Linked DNA regions of Anolis sagrei. The protein of the gene in region 2 interacts with the protein of the main gene of each other region in a biochemical or structural test. Links are inferred from orthologs where the notes say so. Each region holds a gene or a part of one and is shown on either strand. Other genes may lie near its edges.

Evidence for each region. The genes of interacting proteins can lie anywhere in the genome.
Region 1: the proteins of TRIM72 (region 2) and UBE2H form a complex in vitro, tested with the Homo sapiens proteins (2 studies listed by BioGRID). The link is inferred for Anolis sagrei from reciprocal best matches to the Homo sapiens genes TRIM72 and UBE2H.
Region 3: the proteins of TRIM72 (region 2) and INSR form a complex in vitro, tested with the Homo sapiens proteins (2 studies listed by BioGRID). The link is inferred for Anolis sagrei from reciprocal best matches to the Homo sapiens genes TRIM72 and INSR.

The regions. Positions count from the first base shown.
Region 1 is NC_090025.1:195,014,694-195,022,656, forward strand, and holds the start of UBE2H (ubiquitin-conjugating enzyme E2 H), read right to left. Parts: upstream 4,479-7,963; 5' UTR 4,128-4,478; coding exon 4,075-4,127; intron 1-4,074. UniProt on the Homo sapiens protein: Accepts ubiquitin from the E1 complex and catalyzes its covalent attachment to other proteins. E2 ubiquitin conjugating enzyme that transfers ubiquitin to MAEA, a core component of the CTLH E3 ubiquitin-protein ligase complex.
Region 2 is NC_090026.1:15,578,954-15,586,916, forward strand, and holds the start of TRIM72 (tripartite motif-containing protein 72), read left to right. Parts: upstream 1-3,567; 5' UTR 3,568-3,705; intron 3,706-7,963. UniProt on the Homo sapiens protein: Muscle-specific E3 ubiquitin-protein ligase that plays a central role in cell membrane repair by nucleating the assembly of the repair machinery at injury sites.
Region 3 is NC_090034.1:58,586,342-58,594,304, forward strand, and holds the start of INSR (insulin receptor), read left to right. Parts: upstream 1-3,473; 5' UTR 3,474-3,602; coding exon 3,603-3,708; intron 3,709-7,963. UniProt on the Homo sapiens protein: Receptor tyrosine kinase which mediates the pleiotropic actions of insulin.

The DNA.
Region 1 (7,963 bases), on a different chromosome or scaffold from region 2:
TTCCTATAGGGCCAGTGTACCCCATTTCCTGATCTTTCCTGATACAGAATTACCTTCTTAAAGGGCCAGCACCCCAATTTCCTAACTTGGAATTACCCTCTTAAAGGCCCAGCACCTCCATTTCCTGACATCTTAAAGGGCCAGCACCCTCTTTTTTTACTCCTCAAGTCATTCCAATGGGGAAGGGGGCCTTTCTCTTTTGGGGGGGCGGGGCGGGGGGGGGGGATCTGTCCTTTTACAGATCTCTCTGTATTCCTTTTTGAAAGGGAAGCCTTGGTGAGCAGGACCCTGTAACCAAGCCTCAGCTTGTGAGGATACCCCATTCCTTGGCCCCTTGGCCTTCTTAAAGGGCCAGCAACCTTTTTTTGTTTACTCCTCAAGTCATTCAAATGGGGAAGGGGGTCTTTCTCTTTTATGGGGGGGGGGGGGGTCCATCCTCTTACAAATCTCTTAAAAGGAAGACTTGGTGAGAAGGACCCTGTAAACAAGCCTCAGCTTGTGAGGATACCCCATTTTTTGGCTCCTTGGCCTTCTTAAAGGGCCAGCAACCTCTTTTTTTACTCAAGTCATTCCAATGGGGAAGGGGTCTTTCTCTTTTTTTGAGGGGGGATCTGTATTCCTTTCTGAAAGGGAAGCCTTGGTGAGAAGGACCCTGTAATCAAGACTCAGCTTGTGAGGGATCCCTCAATTCCCTGTTTCCTTGGCCTTCTTAAAGGGCCAGTGTCCCCCATTTCCTGGCCTTTCCTGACTCAGAATTACCTTCTTAAAGGGCCAGCACTCTCTGTTTTACTCCTCAAGTCATTTCAATGAGGAATTTTCTAAATTTACTTTCTGAAAGGCTCAGCAGCCCCATTTCCTGACTTCTTAAAGGGCCAGTATCTTCTTCTTTTTTTTTTACTCCAATGGGGAAGGGATCTTCTTAAAGGGCCAGTATCCTCTTTTCTTACTCCAATGGAGAAAGGGTCTTCTTAAAGGGCCAGTATCCTCCTTTTTTACTCCAATGGAGAAGGGGTCTTTCTTTTGAGGAGGGGGATCTGTCCTTTTACAAATCTCTCTGTATTCCTCTCTCAAAGGGAAGACTTGGAGAGAAGGACCCTGTACACAAGCCTTCCCTTTCCTTGGCTCCTTGGCCTTCTTAAAGGGCCAGTATCCTCTTTTTTAACACCAATGGGGAAGGGGTCTTTCTCTCTTTTGGAGTGGGGGATCTGTCCTTTTACAAATCTCTCTGTATTCCTTTCCGAAAGGGAAGACTTTGTGAGAAGGATCCTGTAATCAAACCTCAGCTTGTGACCCTTGGCCTTCTTAAAGGGCCAGTATCCTCTTTTTTTACTCCAATGGGGAAAAGGTCTTCTTAAAGGGCCACTATCCTCTTTTTTTACACCAATGGGGAAGGGGGTCTTTCTTTTGAGGAGGGGGATCTGTCCTTTTACAAATCCCTCTGTATTCCTTTCTCAAAGGGAAGACTTGGAGAGAAGGACCCTGTAAGCAAGCCTTCCCTTTTCTTGGCCTTCTTAAAGGGGCAGTATCCTCTTTTTTTACTGCAATGGGGAAGGGATCTTTCTTATTTTTAGAGGGGGGAGGTTTGTCCTTTTAAAAATATTTCTATCTTCCTTCTCAAAGGGAAGACTTGGTGAGAAAGACCCTGTAACCAAGCCTTCCCTTTTCTTGGCCTTCTTAAAGGGCCAGTATCCTTTTTTTACTCCAATGGGAAAGGGGTCTTTCTATTTTTGGGGGGAGGGGGGGTCTATCCTTTTAAAAATATCTCTCAATTTCTTTGACTTGAGGAGAAAGACCCTGTAAGCAACCCCAGTTTGTGAGGGATCCCCCAATTCCCTGCCTCCTTGGCCTTCTTAAAGAGCCAGTATCCTCTTTTACACCAGTGGGGAAGGGGTCTTTCTATTGGGGGGAGGGAGGGGGGTCTATCCTTTTTAAAATATCTCTTAATTTCTTTGACTTAAGGAGCAAGACCCTGTAAGCAATCCCCAGCTTGTGAGGATACCCCATTCCTTGGCCCTTTGGCCTTCTTAAAGGGCCAGCAACCTTTTTTTGTTTACTCCTCAAGTCATTCCAATGGGGAAGGGGTCTTTCTATTTGGGGGGGGGGGGGGGAATCTGTATTCCTTTCTGAAAGGGAAGCCTTGGTGAGAAGGACCCTGTAAGCAACCCCCAGCTTGTGAGGGATCCCCCCAATTCCCTGGCCTTCTTAAAGGGCCAGTATCCTCTTTTTTTATTCCAATGGGGAAGGGGTCTTTCTATTTTTGGGGGGAGGGGGGTCTATCCTTTTTAAAATATCCCTAATTCCTTTGACTTGAGGAGAAAGACCCTGTAACCAAGTCTTCCCTTTCCTTGGCCTTCTTAAAGGGCCATATCCTCTTTTTTACACCAATGGGGAAGGGGTCTTTCTCTCTTTTGGGGGGGGGGGGTGTTTGTCTAATTCCTTTCTCAAAGGGAAGACTTGGTGAGAAGGACCGTGTAAACAAGCCTTCCCTTTCCTTGGCTCCTTGGCCTTCTTAAAGGGCCAGTATCCTCTTTTTTTACTCCAATTGGGAAAGGGTCTTTCTCTTTTTCTTTTTTGGAGGGGGGGTCTGTCCTTTTACAAATCTCTCTGTATTCCTTTCTCAAAGGGAAGCCTTGGTGAGAAGGACCCTGTAACCAACCCTTGCTTTCCTTGACCTTTTTAAAGGGCCAGTATCCTCTTTTTTTACTCCAATGGGGAAGGGGTCTCTCTCTCTTTTTGGAGGGGGGGTGGTCTATCCTTTTTTAAATATCTCTTAATTTTCTTTGACTTGAGGAGCAAGACCTGTAAGCAATCCCCAGCTTGTGAGGATACCCCATTCCTTGGCCCTTTGGCCTTCTTAAAGGGCCAGCAACCTTTTTTTGTTTACTCCTCAAGTTATTCCAATGGGGAAGGGGTCTTTCTTTTTGTGGGGGGATCTGTATTCCTTTCTGAAAGGGAAGCCTTGGTGAGAAGGACCCTGTAAGCAACCCCCAGCTTGAGAGGGATCCCCCCCAATTCCCTGCCTCTTTGGCCTTCTTAAAGGGCCAGTATCCTCTTTTTTTACTCCAATTGGGAAGGGGTGTCTCTATTTTTTGGGGAGGGGGGCTCTATCCTTTCTAAAATATCTCTCAATTTCTTTGACTTGAGGAGGAAGACCCTGTAAGCAACCCCCAGCTTGTGAGGGATCCCCCCAATTCCCTGCCTCCTTGGCCTTCTTAAAGGGCCAGTATCCTCTTTTTTTACTCCAATGGGGAAGGGGTCTTTCTATTTTTTAGGGGGAGGGGGGTCTATCCTTTTAAAAATATCTCTCAATTTCTTTGACTTGAGGAGAAAGACCCTGTAAGCAACCCCCAGCTTGTGAGGGATCCCCCAATTCCCTGCCTCCTTGGCCTTCTTAAAGGGCCAGCATCCTCTTTTTTTACTCCAATGGGGAAGGGGTGTCTCTCTCTTTTTGGAAGGGGGGGGTGGTCTATCCTTTCTAAAATATCTCTCAATTTCTTTGACTTGAGGAGGAAGACCCTGTAAGCAACCCCCAGCTTGTGAGGATACCCCATTCCTTGGCCCTTTGGCCTTCTTAAAGGGCCAGCAACCTTTTTTTGTTTACTCCTCAAGTCATTCCAATGTGGAAGGGGTCTTTCTATTTTTTGGGGGGAGGGGGGGTCTATCCTTTCTAAAATATCTCTCAATTTCTTTGACTTGAGGAGGAAGACCCTGTAAGCAACCCCCAGCTTGTGAGGATACCCCATTCCTTGGCCCTTTGGCCTTCTTAAAGGGCCAGCAACCTTTTTTTGTTTACTCCTCAAGTCATTCCAATGGGGAAGGGGTCTTTCTATTTTTGGGGGGGAGGGGGGTCTATCCTTTCTAAAATATCTCTCAATTTCTTTCACTTGAGGAGGAAGACCCTGTAAGCAACCCCCAGCTTGAGAGGGATCCCCCAATTCAATTCCCTGCCTGCTTGGCCTTCTTAAAGGGCCAGCGTCCCTCTTTCCCTGCCTTTTGGGGTGCCCCCCGTTTCCCACAACCACAACACCCCCTTCCTTCCCCCGTTCCCCTCGTTTTCCCGCAGGCGAAGGATACAGCTTGACCACGTCGGTGTCCATCCGCCTCTTGCCAGGGCTGGGGGAGGACATGGCGCCCCCCCGGCCGGCGGCCTCTCTTGTCCTGTCAGGACCCCTTTAACGCTGGAGCCCCGCTTCCTGCGCCTGCGCGGTGGGATCCTCTCTCTCTCTCTCCTTGGCTCCGCCTCCTTTGCTCCTTCCTCCGAGGCCCCGCCCTTCCCGAGCCGGCTCTTCCTGGCACCCCCTCCCCTCTCTTAATTTCTTTGGTTCTCCTCTTGTTGTGTGTCTGTTTCCTGCGCCCTTCCGCACCGCTTTCCTGCTCCTGCTCCTGCTCTCTGCTGGCTGCTTCTGCTTCGCCCGCCGCCGAGGCTCTTCTGCTGCCTCTCTCTCTCTCTCTCCTCTGACGTCACCCACAGTGACCTCACCGCCCAGGCCGGGCTTCTTATTGGACGGCGGCGGCGACGTCACTGCGGCCAAGCCCGCCCTCTCCCTGTCCCCGCGCCCCGAGGCACGACGGGAGTTGGAGTCCTTTCCCTCAAAGCACCTCCCTGTGTTTTGGACTCCGACTCCCAGCATCCCTCAAAGGCAAGGCCTCTCTGGAGCTGAGGCCGTCTACACTGGGGAGAATTAACCCACTTTGGGCACCCCTGCTCATGGGACCCCTTGGGAGTTGTAGTTTGCTGAGGTGTTCGTGGAAGGATGGGAGTTGTAGTTTGCTAAAGTGTTCGTGGAATTATGGGAGTACTCATGGAAGGATGGGAGTTATAGTTTGCTGAGTCGATCGTGGAAGGAGGGGAGTTGTAGTTTGCTGAGGTACTCATGGAAGGATGTGAGTTGTAGCTTGCTGAGGTACTCATGGAAGGATGGGAGTTATAGTTTGCTGAAGAACTCATGTATGGATGGGAGTTGTAGTTTACAGAAGTGTTCAGGGAATTATGGGAGTACTCATGGAAGGATGGGAGTTATAGTTTGCTGAGTCGTTCGTGGAATGATGTGAGTTGTAGTTTGCTGAGGTATTCATGGAAGGATGGGAGTTGTAGTTTGCTGAAGTACTCATGGAAGGATGGGAGTTGTAGTTTGCTGAAGTACTCATGGAAGGTTGGGAGTTATAGTTTGCTGAGGTACTCATGGAAGGATGTGAGTTGTAGTTTGCTGAGGTATTCATGGAAGGATGGGAGTTGTAGTTTGCTGAAGTACTCATGGAAAGATGGGAGTTGTAGTTTACTGAAGTACTCATGGAGGGATGGGAGTTGTAGCTTGCTCAGGTGTGCATGGAAGGATGGGAATTGTAGTTTGATGAATTCATTGAAGGGTGAGAGTTGTGGTTTGCCGAGGTATTCGTGGAAGGATGGGATTTGTTTACTGAAGTGTTTATGGAAGGGTAGGAGTTGTAGTTTGATGAGGTATTTGTGGAATTATAGGAGTTGTAGTTTGCTAAAGTACACATGGAAGGATGGGAGTTGTAGTTTGTACTCATGGAAGGATGGGAGTTGTAGCTTGCTCAGGTGTGCATGGAAGGATGGGAGCTGTAGTTTGCTGAAGTGTTCAATGAAGGGTGGGAGTTGTAGTTTGCTGCAGCACTCATGGAGGGATGGGAGTTGTAGTTTGCTGAGGTATTCGTGGAAGGATGGGAGTTGTAGTTTGCTGAAGAGTTCATGGAAGGATAGGAGTTGTAGTTTGATGAGGTATTTGTGGAAGGGTGGGAGTTGTAGTTTGCTGAAGTACTCATGGAGGGATGGGAGTTGTAGTTTGATGATGAATTGATGGAAGGATGGGAGTTGTAGTTTGCTGAAGAATTCATGGGTGGGAGTTGTAGTTTGCTGAGGTATTTGTGGAAGGATGGGAGTTGTAGTTTGCTGAAGTACTCATGGAAGGGAGTTGTAGTTGCTGAAGCATTCATAGAAGGATGGGAGTTGTAGCTTGCTGAACTGTTCATGGAAGGATAGGTGTAATTTGGTGAGGTATTTGTGGAAGGATGAGAGTTGTAGTTTGTTGAGGTGTTCATGGAAAGATGAGAGCTGTAGTTTGCTTAAGTGTTCATGGCAGATTGGGAGTTGTAGTTTGCTGAAGTGTTTGTGGCAGGGTGGGAGTTGTAGTTTGGTGTGGGATCAGCACCCATTTCTGCAGGGAAGGCTAAAAGGGCGTGGAGGAACTACAACTCCCACCACTCCAAGAGCACGGAGCCATTATTTGACAGAAAAGGCTGAAAGTTCCCTTGGCGAACTACAGCTTCCAGAGTTTTGTGTGGCAAGAGAACAGGCTTGTCAAAGTGGCCCATGGCTACGGCATCCTGGGAGTTGTAATTCTACACTGTTTGCTACAGAAGGCCTTGTCGAACTACGACTCGCAGGGCCCCTATAGCCTTGAGCCATTGGCAGTTCAAGTGGTGCCAAGAAGAATATTTAGACTAGAGTCTTCTTTTAGGGGAAGAAAGCACATAATAATAATTGCAATAATAGTAACAACAACAATAATAATAATAAGAGTCTCATTTGAAGCGGGAAGCAGGAAATAATAATATTTAGAGTCTTTTAGGGGAAGAAAGCAGGAAATAATAATAATAATAATAATAATAATAATAATAATAATAAGAGTCCCCTTTTAAGGAAGGAAAGCAGGATATAATGATAATAATAATGATAAACATACAAAATATCAATTGTTGACTTTTAAGAATGGGCTCATTAGTAAATGCATAAGAATATGAGTAAACTACAACTCCCACCATCACCTGTCATTGTTCCAAACCCACTCATATTCCAAGTTGGTCTGTGTGCCAAGTCTGGTCCAGATCCATCGTCGTTTGGGTTCACAGCACCCTTTGGATGGAAACGAACTATAACTCCCTAAATTCAAGGTCTGTTCCTTCCAAATCCCACTGGTTGTCAAAGATGCATATGTTGGGGAAGCGTGACAGGTTTGGTCCAGATCCATTGTTGTTTGTATAAGCAGAGGTTGGATGGGCATCAGTCAGGAGGGCTTCGGTTGTGTCTTCCTGCCTGGTTGGACTGGATGGTCCTTGGGGTCTCTCCCAACTCTACTACAATGGAAACCAAATTGGTGACCTTGAATGAGTCACACTCTCTCAGCCTCAGAAGGGAAAGGCAAAACGTCTTTTGAACCAATTTTAGGATTCCCGTTCATGGGAAACGAAGGCACATAACAACAACAACAACATAAATATAGAATCATAGAGTCGGAAGAGACTCTCGGAGCCATCTAGTCCAACCCCCTTCTGCCATGCAAGAAGACACAGTCAAAACATATCAAATAGAGGTCCATCCAGCCTCTGTTTAAAAACCTCCACCACTTTAAAAGGTCCTAGTTCCAAACTGTTGAAAAGGCAGATTACACTCTGCTTGGAAGATGTTTCTTTCCTAAGCTGATGGCTGTCTGCCAGGAGTGTTTTGGTTGTGTATTGCACTACAAGGGGTGCGACTGGATGTCCTTTGGAAGTCTCTTCTAACTCCATGATTTGGAGCTTTCGTGGGGTACCTCCTGCTCATTTGTTTAAATCACGGGGCTGAAATTCAATATATCATTACGTTCTGCTTGGGTCCAAATACACTTTGTGGTCAATATTCTGCCGCTGCTGTTGTTGTTGTCGCTGCTGCTTCACTTTCCTTAAAAGCACCCAGACCAGCGTATAGAAGGAATCAATACAAATATCATGAAAAGCATCACAACACAAATCCTTGCAAAGAATGGAGAGTGGCGTTTTTAAGTAAGGGAAAGCAGCAACCATGTCGCTCATGGCCACGTATTTCCCTCCACGTAACCTACTCTGCAGGGTTGTTGTTTGGAGAAAATGCATTTAAAAATATGTATGATGCCTTTAAGGCTGAAAAAACACCATCTTTTAGTATTTCTCCTTTAGAAATACTAAAGCAGGTGTTGGAGGTGCAAGA
Region 2 (7,963 bases):
GCGTGTAGGCACTAAACTATTTATGCAGGCCAAAATCCCCTTGGCTTTTTTTGCCGCCACAACACATTGTTAGCTCATGTTTAACCTGTTGTTCACAAGGACTCCAAGATCTTTTTCACATGTACATGTACTCTTTTTACACGATCCTCTAGCTGACTGCATGGGATTTCTGTCCTTTTGTATCACCATGAGAGAAGAAATTCTATTTTACCCCTCAATTTGTAACTGAATTTGATCTATGTGCTGGCACGGCCGTACCAGAAGCTCCAGCTTTATTTGCTTTGTATTAAATGTTTGCTTGCAGTCCAAGGCTTGGGATTCTGCAGAAGGGTGGCTTCCTGTTAACGCTTGCAGTTATAGGGCAGGCCACCTGTCCATCATCATTAAGGTTTGATTCCGCTCCCTGTTCAGGCTCTGAGAGGGATAGGAACCATTTTGGTCAGTCTCAGCAAGGATAACTAATGTACAGGATGTGTATAGTCTTCTCCTGTGCAAAAGCTTCAACCCTTAAGACTTTCCGGGGGGGGGGGGGGGGGAACAGTCCAGGGAAAGAGCCCTAAAGCTCTGAGGAATTTTGGAGGGAAAAACAGCTTTGAATATCAAAGAACTCCAGCTGAAGAGACTACAGGCCATGCTGGTAGGTCCACTCGGTGCTTTGAGACGCAGTTCAAACTGGTAGTGGAGCCCACATCAGTTAGGTTTAGGTTCACAGTCAGCCTGGGAGAAGTTAGAAAGGGATTTTCCTTTAAAGTAAAGTAACAGTTAGAAGCCACCAGTTGCACAAAAGCCTGAAAGCATTTGTTTAACCTTTTGAAGACAAGAGAAGTTTCTGTTTGATTGTTCCTCAATAAAAGACTTTGTTATATTTCACAAGCCCTCTAAAGACTGTTTGTGGTGGAAAATCCCTAAGAGCTTCTCTTCGGGGGCCCTGGTTTCCCGCTGGGCTCAAGCTGCATGTACTGTTTTTAAGGCACTTCATTTCAAGCCCAGTGCGCGACAGAACAATCTATCTAAACAAGTTTTAAAACTGTGTGATGACTGACATGCATTTTTGTAAGTAAAGTTCTTATTTAAATCTCATAATTTGGGTTGATGCTGTTTTATTTTGATCTTTGATACATTTACCTGTGTATGTTACTCATTGCTATTTTATCAATGGGAATAAACAAGATGCTGGAACCTTTTAAAGCTTACTCTGTATCAAGCATGGACAAACTTCAGCCCTCCAGGTGTTTTGGACTCCAGCTCCCATAATTCCTAACAGTCTTTCCTTTTTCCTTTCAGTTGCTTAATTCCAGGGAGAGGAAAGTTCAGGCAGGCAGCCTTTTTGGCTTAATAGCTTTGTTTCCTTGCACTGAATATGAAACTAACTTTGTGAGCCTTCTGGGATTTACAAAACTAAGTATGGGTTAAGTTTTGATTCCAAAATATTTGGCGTGGGCCACACAAACACTTTGGATATGGCTTACGACTTACAAAATTTCCGATTTTCTTATAAATTCCAACACTTCTGAATTTTTTGCACATGCCTAATACTCATGTAGATTCCCAGATACTTTGCTTTGTTGACAGTTTCAATACCTGTCCTTTCCTTCTTACTTCTGGTCTTACTTCTGGAGATTCTTAAACATTTTTTCTGTTTGTTAATTGTAAGTCCAGATGCTTTTCCAAAGTCCTCAATAATTTCCAGTATTTTAGGTATTATCTCTATGGGATCTTTTTGTTGCTGAGATCTTAATATCATTCTGTATTGCATTCAGAGAAGTGAGTTTACAACTCTGAGAGCTCATGCAAAAATAAAAACCAGCTAGTCTTTACAGGAACTGCCACATTTCTTTTTTTTTCTCCCCCTTCCTTCCTGCTTTTTATGGTCTAGAAATTAGTCTTCTTTTGCATTAGAATTAACCACTAGGTGCCTCTCTTGGATAGGTTTAAATAGCTTTAAACAGTTTCTAGCCAATGTAATGAAATGGTATTGGAACAGGACCAGGGTTTGAATCCTCGCTCAACTACAGAACCCCACTGAATGACATTGCGAGCGTCTCACTCCCTCAGCCTGAGACAAACTTTATCTGAATCAGTCTTTCTATGAAAACCCCATGATACATTCAACTTAGAGCAATGTTTCTCAACCTTTCTTGTGCCGCAACCCCTTAATACAATTCTTCATTTTGTGGTGACTCCCGAACATAAAATTATGGTTCTTAACTGTAATTTGCTACTGTTATAAATCCTAATGTAAAATCTGATATGCAGGGTGTATTTTCATTCACTGGACCAAATTTGGCACAAATACCCAACACGCCCAAATCTGAATATTAGTAGGAATGGGGGAGGGGGAGATTGATTTTGTCATTTGGGAGTTGTAGTTGCCGGGATTTATAGTTAAGCTACAATCAAAGAGCATTCTGAACTCCACCAATGATGGAATTGAACCAAACTTGGCACACAAAACTCACATGACCAACAGAAAATTGGAAGGGTTTAGTGAGCATTGACCTTGAGTTTTGGAGTTGTAGTTCACCTACATCCAGAGAGCGCTGTGGACTCAAACAATGATAGATCTGGACCAAAGTTGGCATGAATACTCAACATGCCCAAATGTAAACACTGGTGGAGTTTGTGGAAAATAGACCTTGACATTTGGGAGTTGTAGTTGCTGGGATTTATAGTTCACCTCAATCAAAGCACATTCTGGACCCTACCAATGATAGAATTTGGCCAAACTTCCTACACAGAACCCCCCTGATGAACAGAAAATACTGTGTTTTCTAATGGTCTTTTGGCGACCCCACTGACACCCCCTTCGTGACCCCCCCCCCCTGGGTTGCAACCCCTAGGTTGAGAAAAGCTCCCTTAGAGCCTCCCTGAAACAGAAAGAGCTTGAAGCCATACACAGTTTCAATTGGCAAAGTTATACCTTAACCAAAGCATAACTTTACTGGTTTTCCTTGCGCAATTACATTTTATATTATTATTATATTGCAAGATGTGGATAACCACTCACTTATATGAATCCACATGTATATTCTGAAGCTGTATATTCAGGGTGGATATTCACCCTATCATCTGCTATAATTCAGTCTTATCCCATGGAACACCCACTTGATATATCATCCCCCAAATCATCTCCCATCCCACACACCATACACCCACTCAGTTCATTCTACCTATTCCCGAAAATCCTCAAATGCCAGTTATAATTATGAGCTGTCAATCATTCTGTGATATCCTTTGCTGGGAAACTGGACACTCTAGAGCTTCCTTCTTGCAACCCTAGCTCTCAGCTGTTGCATGCATTCGAGAAATCAACTAAGCATTGCTCAGCCACAGAGACAAGTAGGAGTGATAAGAGTGCCACATAAAAATGTCAAACATTTTGTCTTTAGAGGGCTGCCTAGAAACTGGATAGAAGTCTGCATCAAGTAGCCTTCTTAAAAGAAACCTATTTTGAGCATACTGTGATTCTTTCCCTACCCCAGCCTCCTTCAGAAAGAGAAAGAGACAAATTAGGTGACATCCTACCCTTCCCAGAATCAGGGTGCATTATTGAGCTATATATAGGAGGACCTGGGTGGGACTGAGAGTAATTCACTTGACGTCTCCACTTGTCCCAGGATGGTTGCTGTCTCTTTGGTGTCTGCCTGATTACTGGATACATGCTCTGTGAACACTGCTGGTTTCCTTAAACATTAGCATTCTCTAGTAAGGATATTATTGTGTTTTATTCCTTCCTTTCTTCCTTCTTCCTTCCTTCTTCTAAAGTCATGTTTTATACCTTTAATCATGTTACAGATATAGATACAAGTAGGGAAATAGTCATGCTGATATTATAAAGTTATGCAACTGTCACTGTTCTAGTCGTGGTTTTGTGTGCCTTCAAGTCATTTGAGACTTATGGCAACCCTCAAATGAGTCTAATATGGGCTTTATATATTTATTTATTTTTGCATGATTTGTTCAGATGGAGGTTGCAGTTGCTTTCATCTGATGCTGAGAATGAATGCATTGTGAGTTTCCATAGCCTTGTGGATTCGAACACTGGTCTGCCAGAATCTTAATCCAACATGCAAATAACTTTATCGGCAGTCCCCAAGTTGTGAACAAGATAGGCTCTGTAGGTTTGGTCTTAAGTTGAATTTGTTTGTAAGATGGACAGGTATATTTTTAAAGTGTTAACTTTAGCAAAAAATGTATATTTTAAAGCTTTGGATAGCTTGGGGGGGGGGGCAGTGCTGAGCTGCTGAACTTGCTGACCAGAAGGTTGGTGGTTTGAATCCAGGGAGTGGCATAAGCTCCAGCTGTTAGCCCTAGCTTCTGCCAACCTAGCAGCTGAAAAACATGCAGATGTGAATAGATCAATAGGTACTGCTCCAGTGAGAAGGTAACAGCGCTCCATGCAGTCATGCCAATCATATGACCTTGGAGGTGTCTATGGACAATGCCAGCTCTTCGGCTTAGAAATGGAGATGAGCACTAACCCCCAGTGTCAGACACGACTGGACTTAATGTCAGGGGGAAACTTATACCTTAGGGGAGGGTTAACACCCCTGTGGTGTTTGTTTTGTTGTCTGTTGGGAAGATTTCACATAATTTTCTGTCACTGTAATAATTGGATTCTGAAAAAAATTTGGCAAGATTGGTGAGAAAAAATTGACAAGGATTGGTGAGAAAGCTTTAGTGGAGACACCTTTCCCCCATAATAACTCTTCCAGGAGTGAATTTTCCTTCTGAGGGGTTGATTTCTCTCAGTTCCTGTGATCTAACCCCAGTTTGTAACTTTAAATCATTTGTAAGCCGGATATTTGTAACTTGGGGACTGACTTTACCATATATAAAAGACAAAATTAAAAAGAGAACCCAGGTTGTTGTTATTATTGTTTCTGACTTATGTTGACCTGAAAGCAAATAGGGTGTGTGTGTGTGGAAATGTTTATTAAGATGAGGCTTGCAATTTCCTAATTTAAATCTTCATTCAACCATGAAATTCACTTGGCACCTCACCAGACCGGGTACTTTTCGGCTGCATGTGCCAGTTTGACTTTATGTTTACTTCCAGTGGCGCTCTATCATAAAAGTAAAAACAAACTGGCACATTCTGCCTTGGTGGCAACTTGGGACACTTCCCGTGTTATTTGGGTCAATGGGGGGAAGCCAGTGGCCAACGCTTCCCCTGTGGGATGGAGCAACAGGTGAGTGGACAATGTGGGAAATGGGGTGACGAGTTCCCCACGTCCCTCGATGTGCACCTCTGGATTCATCACAATGCGTGGTGATTCCAATGCCCATCTGATGAGGTCATGGGTGACCTTGAACAAGTCACACCCTTTCCGCTCCAGAGGAAAGCAATTGCAAGGTTTTTGGGAAGAGGAAAATTATGTGTATTACCAAAAGAAAATGTCATCCTAAATCTGAAAAGGCTTAAGATTGGCATTGTTATTATTGCTTTGTACTTAAAGTTGTTTCTGACTTATGGCAACCCTATCGGAAGATACAGGGGCCTTATTTCCAAAAACACACAATGCCATGCAGTGCAGAGTGGTGTAAAACTTACCATTTAGCTTTCATTGTAGAGTCACATAAAGGCACATTATAGCAAAATGCAACAGTATACCATACAGAGAGAAAAGACAGAAAGAAGCAGGCAGGCATGGCTCAGAGATGGGCTCAAGTTACCACTCTGGTTTTCCCTTCTGAACTATTTATAGGGCGTTTGTCACCATGCCTAGCAGAGAGCCCAGCAGCTGCCTTGCAAGTTTAGCATTTCTCTCCAACTTGCAATAGATCAGGCTGTCATAGCCCTGAGCAAGCAGCGGATGAACAAAATTGCACAGAGGAGGAGACAGGGATGGCAATGAAATCAGGAATATCCAATCTCCCGAAGTCCAGAAATCTGGACAAACTGGTGTTGAAGGCCAACTCAGAAGAGTTGCATCTACATTGTAAAAGCTGTTTGGCATCACTTTGCCTCTCACTTTGGGGAAGAAGGAGGAAAACAGCAGGCAGCATAACTTTTAAAAAGTAGGATTTAACAGGGTCTTAGAGAGAAAGTGAATGAATCCCAGGGCAGAGGTATATCTGGTTACAATCCTGAGATGCAGTTGGAAGAGACTGTAAGCGTGAAGGTCAATCAAATAGGAACTATGGTGCAAAGGCTGGAGGTGGCAGCAGCGATCCTTTTTTGGACAGTTCCTGTTTAGTTTTTCAGTTTCTCTCCCAATCCAACTTTTATTGGAATCATTGTAGAACTCTCACTCAGACTCATTTGTCTCGAATTTCTAAGCCTTTAAGACACCAAAAGAAGTTTTGGGTTAGATATTTGACAAGGAGCTGTGTTGTATAGGGTTACACTCAGAGCTTGAAAAGGTTACTTTTAAAAATTAGTTACTTTTTGAACTACATTCCCTGCATAGCTAATGTGCATGTTTCAGATGGGGGATGATGGAACTTCTAATCCCAAAATTAACTTTTTAAAACTTTAGTTACATTTGAGCTCTTATCAGCCTACCAAATTTTGCTGTCAACTGATACCCACAAAGGATATTTTCTTTGGCCACCTCCAGATTGTAGAATAACCTGCCAGAAGGGCTTTATCATCTGAAAAAGCCACCTGTGTTTAAAACAGCAGTAAAGATCAGCCTCTATCCAGATTATTTTAAAATACAGATTTTAAAGTATTGCTTGGTTGAGTTTGTTATGTATTGGTTCTAAATTTTATTATTTATTTATTTAGTTAGTTAGTTAGTTACCCTATTTATACCCCACCTTTCTCTACCTCCAAGATAATTCAAGTCAACTTACATATGGCAATTATTCAATGCCTTAGATACATACAAACATTAAGCTTAAAATTAATTGAATTAAAATTAATACATATTAAACACCTAAAAACATTACATTAAATATTAACGCCATTTTAACCTTGGTTTTGTTGTTGTTATTAACTACCATCAACTCATCTTTGACTTATGATAACCCTATGAATATGAAACCTCCAAGTCACCCTATCTTCAACAGCGCTGCTCAGATCTTGCAAACTCGGGATCATGGCTTCCTTGATTGAGGCCAATCACCAGGAATGTGCTCTTTCGCTTTTTCTTTCTTTCTTTCTTTCTTTCTTTATTTATTTATTTATTTCTACCCTGCCCTTCTCAACCCCAGAAGGGGGAATCAGGGCAGCTTACAACAATTCAATGCCACAACATACAAACAATATAACAAATATAACAACAATTTAAAACAATAGATAAAACATTAGGTTAAAACAAATTAAAACATTATTATCAAGCCATATAACCATTTCCAGTCTGATTCAACATCCAAGTGCTGTCATGTCTGCTGTCCAAAAGCCTGGTCCTAAAACCAAGATTTAAGTTTCTTCCTAAAAGAAAAGAGGGATGAAGCCAATCTAATCTTGCTGAGGAGCGAGTTCCACAGGCAGCGGACCACCACCAAGAAGGCCCTGTCCCTCATCCCTGCCAAACATGCTTGTGAAGCTGGCGGAACTGAGAGCAGGGCCTCCCCAGACAATCTTAAATTGCAAGGTTGGACATAGAGGGAGATATGTTCGGACAGATAAGCTGGGCTGGAACCATATAGGGTTTTATAGTCCAAGACCAGTACTTTGAATTGTGCTTGCAAGTGGACTGGTAGCCACTTTTCTACAACCTACTACCTTATCAAGCATCATTATCTTTTCTAATAAGACATGCCTTTCTATGATATGGCCACAGTACCATATCACAGTTCCTATGATATGGCCATAGTTTAGATACCTTGACTTCTAGGGACAATATCATAATTTTAGTATTCAATAATTTTATCCTGACACCTATGGATTTGTCTAGATCAATGGTTCTCAATCTGTGGGTCTCCAGATGTTTTGGCCTTCAACTCCCAAAACACCTGGTAAACAAGCTAGGATTTCTGGGAGTTGTAGGCCAAAACACCTGGGGACCCACAA
Region 3 (7,963 bases), on a different chromosome or scaffold from region 2:
CAGCTATTGAAATGGCCATCAACAAACACAAAACCCCCATATCATTGGAACTCATGAAGAATAAGACTTGGAATTCCTATTTGGTTTCAAAGTGGAGCCATCAGACTGGAACTTCCTTTTTGCCAACTTTTTGGTCATTTCACAATAGGAGCGAGACGACCCTCAGGAGGCTGCCTTCCCAATTTTGTTTACTTCACTCAAAATAGACATTCCTCCCAAACCTCTCCTTTGTGCCTTATCTGATTGTAACAGGAAGACCCAGATAAGGTGATCAGTGCTCATCACAAATCCACTCAAGGACAATAGACTGGGCATCCGTCATAGACTGGAATTGGGTCAGCCAATCACCTGCGAGCCAGGAGGAGGGCGGAGGGCGGGAGTTTTGAACTTTCAAACCTGAAAATCCCTTTAAAAATGCCTCTGATCTCTGTACTGGTATGCTTTGTAGGCGAATGATTGCTACATCGCATCCTTTTCAGCTGAATCGCTAATAAAACCACCTCGATGCCTTTTCTTCAACTTTGGTGAGCTTTGTTCTGAATTTTTAATCTCAATAAAACTGCTGAAATCAGGCTTTCCTGCTCGCCAAAGTAGCGAACCCTCTTTGGTGGGGTCTTAGGGTCCCTCCTCCTGGGGAAGACCCTCCTAAAGCTCCTATTGGCTTCAATTTCCTGGCTGCAGTCTGCGTCTGCACTAATCTTTGCACCTAGAAATACAAAGTCTGTCACGGCCTCCACGTTTTCTCCCTTTCTCCCTTTATTTCCCAGTTGGCAATCATTCTTGTTGCCATAATCTTGGAAGACTCCAGCAATACATGGAGCGAGAGTTGCCAGATGTTCAAGCTGGGTTTAGAAAAGGCAGAGGAACAAGAGACCAGATTGCCAATATCCGCTGGATAATGGAGAAAGGCAGGGAGTTTCAGAAAAACATCTATTTCTGCTTCATTGACTATTCTAAAGCCTTTGACTGTGTGGATCATAATAAATTGTGGCAAGTCCTTGGCGGGATGGGCATCCCAAGCCACCTTGTCTCTCTCCTGAGGAATCTGTACAAGGACCAAGTAGCAACAGTCAGAACTGACCACGGAACAACAGACTAGTTCAGGATTGGGAAAGGCGTACGGCAAGGCTGCATACTCTCACCCAACCTTTTTAACGTGTATGCAGAACACATCATGCGATGTGCGGGGCTTGATGAATGCAAAGCTGGAGTGAAAATTGCTGGAAGAAACATTAACAACCTCAGATATGCAGATGACACCACTCTGATGGCCGAAAGCGAGGAGGAGCTGAGGAGCCTTCTAATCAAGGTGAAAGAAGAAAGCGCAAAAGCCGGGTTGCAGCTAAACATAAAAAAAACCAAGATTATGGCAACAAGAATGATTGACAACTGGGAAATAGAGGGAGAAAACGTAGAGGCCGTGACAGACTTTGTATTTCTAGGTGCAAAGATGACTGCAGATGCAGACTGCAGCCAGGAAATCAGAAGACGCTTACTTCTTGGGAGGAGAGCAATGTCCAGTCTCGATAAAATAGTAAAGAGTAGAGACATCAGACTGGCAACAAAGATCCGCCTAGTCAAAGCCATGGTATTCCCTGTAGTCACCTACGGATGTGAGAGCTGGACCTTAGGGAAGGCTGAGCGAAGGAAGATCGATGCTTTTGAGCTGTGGTGTTGGAGGAAAGTGCTGAGAGTGCCTTGGACTGCGAGAAGATCCAACCAGTCCATCCTCCAGGAAATAAAGCCCGACTGCTCACTGGAAGGAAGGATACTAGAGACAAAGTTGAAGTACTTTGGCCACATCATGAGGAGACAGGAAAGCCTAGAGAAGACAATTATGCTGGGGAAAGTGGAAGGCAAAAGGAAGAGGGGCCGACCAAGGGCAAGATGGATGGATGGCATCCTTGAAGGGACTGGCTTGACTCTGAAGGAGCTGGGGGTGGTGACGGCCGACAGGGAGCTCTGGCGTGGGCTGGTCCATGAGGTCACGAAGAGTCAGAGACGACTGAACGAATGAACAACAACAACATAGCAAGCATCCTCAGAGGTAGTGAGGTCTGTTGGAACTAGGAAAGTGGGTTTATATATCTGTGGAATGACCAGGGTGGGACACAGAACTCTTGTCTGTTGGAGCTAGGTGTGAATGTTTCAACTGACCACCTTGATTAGAATTTGATGGCCCGGCAGTGCCTGGGGCAATCTTTTGTTGAGAGGTGATTACTCTTTAGCATTTCCCTTTTTTGGTATGGGGATATAAATGGATTTTTTCCAGTCTGATGGCCATTCTTGTGTTTTCCATAATATTTATATTCTAATGTTATTATAATGTTATTCTACTATGATAATATATTACTATTAATAACAACATGAAGAGGGAAAAGGTGGATAATCATTCAAGGAAGGCTCTATCCCTGACTGAGGAGCGATGGGCCTCGCTGAGGGGCGCCCCTGCTAGGAATATTTTGCGGACTACATTTCCCAGAATGAGATAGGATTGTTGTTGTTGTGTGCTTTCAAGTCATTTCAGACTTAAGTTGATCCTGAGCGAGGGCCGGGTAAATGACCTTGGAGGGCCGTGTCCGGCCCCCGGGCCTTAGTTTGAGGACCCCTGTTCTATAGGCATTCTCTCCTGACGTTTTGCCTGCATCTGTAGCAAGCATCCTCAGAGGTAGTGAGGTCTGTTGGAACTAGGAAAGTGGGTTTATATATCTGTGGAATGACCAGGGTGGGACACAGAGCTCTTGTCTGTTGGAGCTAGGTGTGAATGTTTTGTGTTATATTGTATTGTATTAATTGTCTGTTTTTAGTCTATTGTGTTTTGCTATTGCATTTAATTGTAATTGTGGGCATCAAATTGTGCCGGATGTAAGCCGCCTTGAGTCCCCCCTAGGGGGTGAGAAAGGCGGGGTATAAATGACCTAAATAAATAAATAAAAAATGTTTCAACTGACCACCTTGATTAGCATTTGATGGCCTGGCAGTGCCTGGGGCAATCTTTTCTTGAGAGGTGATTAGTCTTTAGCATTTCCCTTTTTTGGTATGGGGATATAAATGGATTTTTTCCAGTCTGATGGTCATTCCTGTGTTTTCCATAATATCTATATTCTAATGTTACTATAATGTTATTCTACCATGACAATATATTATTATTAATAACATTAAAGAGGAAAAAGGTGGAGAACCATTCAAGGAAGGCTCTATCCCTGACTGAGGAGCGATAGGCCTCGCTGAGGGGCGCCCCTGCTAGGAATATTTCGCGGACTACATTTCCCAGAATGCCTTCCCCTTGAAACAACCGGCGAGGGCTTCTGGGACTCAGAGGCTCAGGTCTGTGTTGTTTGGGACTCAATTTCCCAGAGTTCTTTCCTCTTGGTGCAGGCGGGGAGGCCTTCTGGGAGTTGTAGGCGCCGAGGCTGTGAGGCGGCAAAGGAACCCCGTCCGTGCTCCGGGCGCCATTTTTCCCCTGCCCTCCACTGGAAGAGGGGGCGTGGAGCGCGGAGGGAGGGAAGGCCTGGCTTTCCCCGCCCAGGACGGAGGAGGCGGTGCCGCTTGTTTATCGAGAGAGACCCCGAAGGAGGGAGAAGGGCGACGGCGGAGGAGGCATGGCGGGTCGCCTGGGTCTAGGCCTCGGGCTCGGACTAGGCCTCCTCCTGGGAGTGCTTCTAGCGACCTGCATGCCCGAGGCGCGAGCCCAGAACCCCGACCAGAGTGAGTCCCAGCGAAGGCATGCGGGAGAGGGTTAGGGCTAGGGTTGGATCTGGAATGACTGGGAAGGAAGAGGGAATCCATCGCTAATAGTAGTACTCACAGTAGATCTGAAATGCCTATTGAGAAGAGGAGAATACATTGCTATTATTATGCTTACTATTATTAGATCTGTAATTCCTATTGAGAAGAGGAGGAGAGGGACTCCATTGCTATTAGTATTCGTATTATTATGCTTACTATTTGGCCTGTAAGAGAAGGAGAGGGAATGCATTGCCATTATGATTACGTTTATTATGCTTACTATTGGGTCTGTAGAAGAAGGAGAGGGAATGCATTGCTATTATGATTATGTTTATTAGTAGTAGCACATCTGTAATGCCCATTGAGAAGATGAGGAGAAGGGACTACATTGCTATTAGTATTCGTATTATTATGCTTACTATTGGGTCTGTAGGAGAAGGAGAGGGAATGCATTGCTATTATGATTATGTTTATTAGTAGTAGCACATCTGTAATGCCCATTGAGAAGATGAGAGGGACTACATTGCTATTAGTATTAATATTATTATGCTTCCTATGGAGTCTGTAAGAGAAGGAGAGGGAAGGTATTGTTATTATGATTATGTTTATTATTATTAGTAGCAGATCTGTAATGCCCATTGAGAAGAGGAGGAGAGGAACTACGTTGCTATTAGTATTCGTATTATTATGCATTCTATTGGGTCTGTAAGAGAAGGAGGGGGAATGCATTGCTATTATGATTATGTTTATTATTATTAGTAGCAGATCTGTAATGCCCATTGAGAAGAGGAGAGGGACTACATTGCTATTAGTATTAATATTATTATGCTTCCTATCGGGTCTGTAAGAGAAGGAGAGGGAATGCATTGCTCTTATGATTATGTTTATTAGTAGTAGCAGATCTGTAATGCCCATTGAGAAGAGGAGGAGAGGAACTACGTTGCTATTAGTATTCGTATTATTATGCATTCTATTGGGTCTGTAAGAGAAGGAGGGGGAATGCATTGCTATTATGAGATTATGTTTATTATTATTAGTAGCAGATCTGTAATGCCCATTGAGAAGAGGAGAGGAACTACGTTGCTATTAGTATTAATATTATTATGCTTCCTATCGGGTCTGTAAGAGAAGGAGAGGGAAGGCATTACTATTATGATTATATTTATTATTAGTAGTAGCAGATCTGTAATGCCCATTGAGAAGAGGAGGAGAGGAACTACGTTGCTATACGTTGCTATTAGTATTCGTATTATTATGCATACTATTGGGTCTGTAAGAGAAGGAGAGGGAACGCATTGCTATTATGATTATGTTTATTATTATTAGTAGCAGATCTGTAATGCCCATTGAGAAGAGGAGGAGAGGAACTACGTTGCTATTAGTATTCGTATTATTATGCATACTATTGGGTCTGTAAGAGAAGGAGAGGGAACGCATTGCTATTATGATTATGTTTATTATTATTAGTAGCAGATCTGTAATGCCCATTGAGAAGAGGAGAGGGACTACATTGCTATTAGTATTAATATTATTATGCATACTATTGGGTCTGTAAGAGAAGGAGAGGGAACGCATTGCTATTATGAGATTATGTTTATTATTATTAGTAGCAGATCTGTAATGCCCATTGAGAAGAGGAGGAGAGGGACTACATTGCTATTAGTATTAATATTATTATGCTTCTTATTGGGTCTGTAAGAGAAGGAGAGGGAAGGCATTGCTATTATGATTATATTTATTATTATTAGTAGCAGATCTGTAATGCCCATTGAGAAGAGGAGGAGAGGGACTACATTGCTATTTGTATCCGTATTATTATGCTTAATATTGGGTCTGTAAGAGAAGGAGACGGAATGCATTGCTATTATGATTATATTTATTAGTAGTAGTAACAGATCCGTAATGCCCATTGAGAAGAGGAGAGGGACTACATTACTATTAGTATTAATATTATTATGCTTCCAATTGGGTCAGTAAGAGAAGGAGAGGGAATGCATTGCTGTTATGATTATGTTTATTATTATTAGTAGCAGATCTGTAATGCCCATTGAGAAGATGAGGAGAGGGACTACATCGCTATTAGTATTAATATTATTATGCTTCCTATTGGGTCTGTAAGAGAAGGAGAGGGAATGCATTGCTATTATGATTATTATTATTATTATTAGATCTGTAATGCCTATTGAGAAGAGGAGCAGAGGGACTACATTGCTATTATTATTATTATTATTATTATTATTATTATTGGACCTGTAATGCCTGTTGAGAAGACGAGGAATACATTGCTGCTGCTGCTATTATTGTTATTATTAGATCTGTAATGCCTTTTGAGAAGACGAGGAGAGGGAATACATTGCTATTATTATGCTTACTATTGTTATTGTTACTATTGGATCTGTAATGACTTAGGACGAGGGAAGGAAATGCACATCGCTATTATTATTATTATTATTATTATTATTATTATTATTATTATTAAGATTAATCCAATGGCAGGACAGGAGGGAGAGGGAATACATCACTATTAGTAGTAGTAGAAATAATATATCTGTTTTGCCAGTTAAGAAGAAGAGAGGGAATACATTGTTGTTATTATGATTATTATGATTAGATCTATCATGCCTGCTAAGAAGATGAGATTATTATGCTTATTATTATTATGCTTATTGCTTACTGTAATGCCTATTATGGGGAAGGGGAGGAGGGATATGAGAGGAAATACATCACTATTATTATTATTATTAGATTTGTAATGCCTATTAAGAATAGGAGGGAGAGCAGAGGAAATATTATTGTTATTATTCATAAGAAGTTTTAGCCCCCGGTGGTGCAGTGGGTTAAACCCCTGTGCCGGCAGGACTGAAGACCGACAGGTCGCAGGTTTGAATCCGGGGAGAGACGGATGAGCTCCCTCTATCAGCTCCAGCTCCTCATACGGGGACATGAGAGAAGCCTCCCACAAGGATGATAAAAACATCAAATCATCCGGGCGTCCCCTGGGCAACGTCCTTGCAGACGGCCAATTCTCACACCAGAAGCGACTTGCAGTTTCTCAAGTCGCTCCTGACACGACAAAAAAATAAGAAGTTTAATCCAAAGGAAGGGAAGGAGGGAACGAAGAGATACATTATTATTATTATTATTATTATTATTATTATTATTATACTTGGTAATGCCTTGTGGTTGGCAGTAGCACAATAGTGTAATATATATAATATATCTGATATTATAATGCTATAAAGCATATAAGAATAGGTGAATAGAAGAGTGAATTGTTATTATTATCATCATCATCTCTAGATATGCCAGTGCCGATTTCCTGTCATTTTGTTGTTGTCGATAGTAATACAAATATAAATAGTATAAGAATAGGAGTGCAAGCGAGTATCCATTTCCTAGGAGGAATAGAAGAGAGAACTATAATAATAATTAATAATAATAATAATAATTATTATTATTTTTAGATATGCCAGTGCAGCTTTCCAGTGGTCTTGTGGTTGGCAGTAGTACTATAATATGTAATCTAATATACATTACATAAGTGCAAGGAGAGGAGTGCAAGGGGGAGCCTATTTCTTAAGGAGGAGGTAGAGAAGACAGGATAGCAGTAATACTGACAAGAATGATGATAATAGTAAAATGACAACTTGTAATGCTATACTTGCTTTCCTGTGGTTGCTGTTGGCGCCTGTACTGTAACATAATATATGGCATAGTGTGATATATGCGATACCAAGATATCATAATAGGAGAAGCAATTATGACGCCAATTTCTTAGGAGGAAGGGAAGCAAAAATAATAACAGTAATAACAACACATACATGTAATAATAGCCAACAAAGAGCAAAGCTAGGCCTCTCTCTTCTGTGGTCTTGAAGTAGAGAGTAGGAGTAATATAAGGGATCTTACATGGTTTGACAGCTGGAATATTAATGATAATAGAGTCTCTCTTCTCTGAAGTGCTGGGGATCAGAAGTGCTTAGGAATATTTCAGAATATTTATCTCTGTTTGCAATTGTGTACAAACAGAGGCATATTGGAAATGGGACAGTGATGGTGGGTATCACTAGACAATCACCTCCATTATCAGTAGTTCAGTTGGTAAAGGAACCTTATTAATATTAATAATAATATAAGTTATCACTTGGGGTAGAGAATCGCCTCCTTCAGCATCAGTAGTTCAGTTAGTAAAGGAACCATATTCACATAATAATCATAATAGTTATCACTTGGG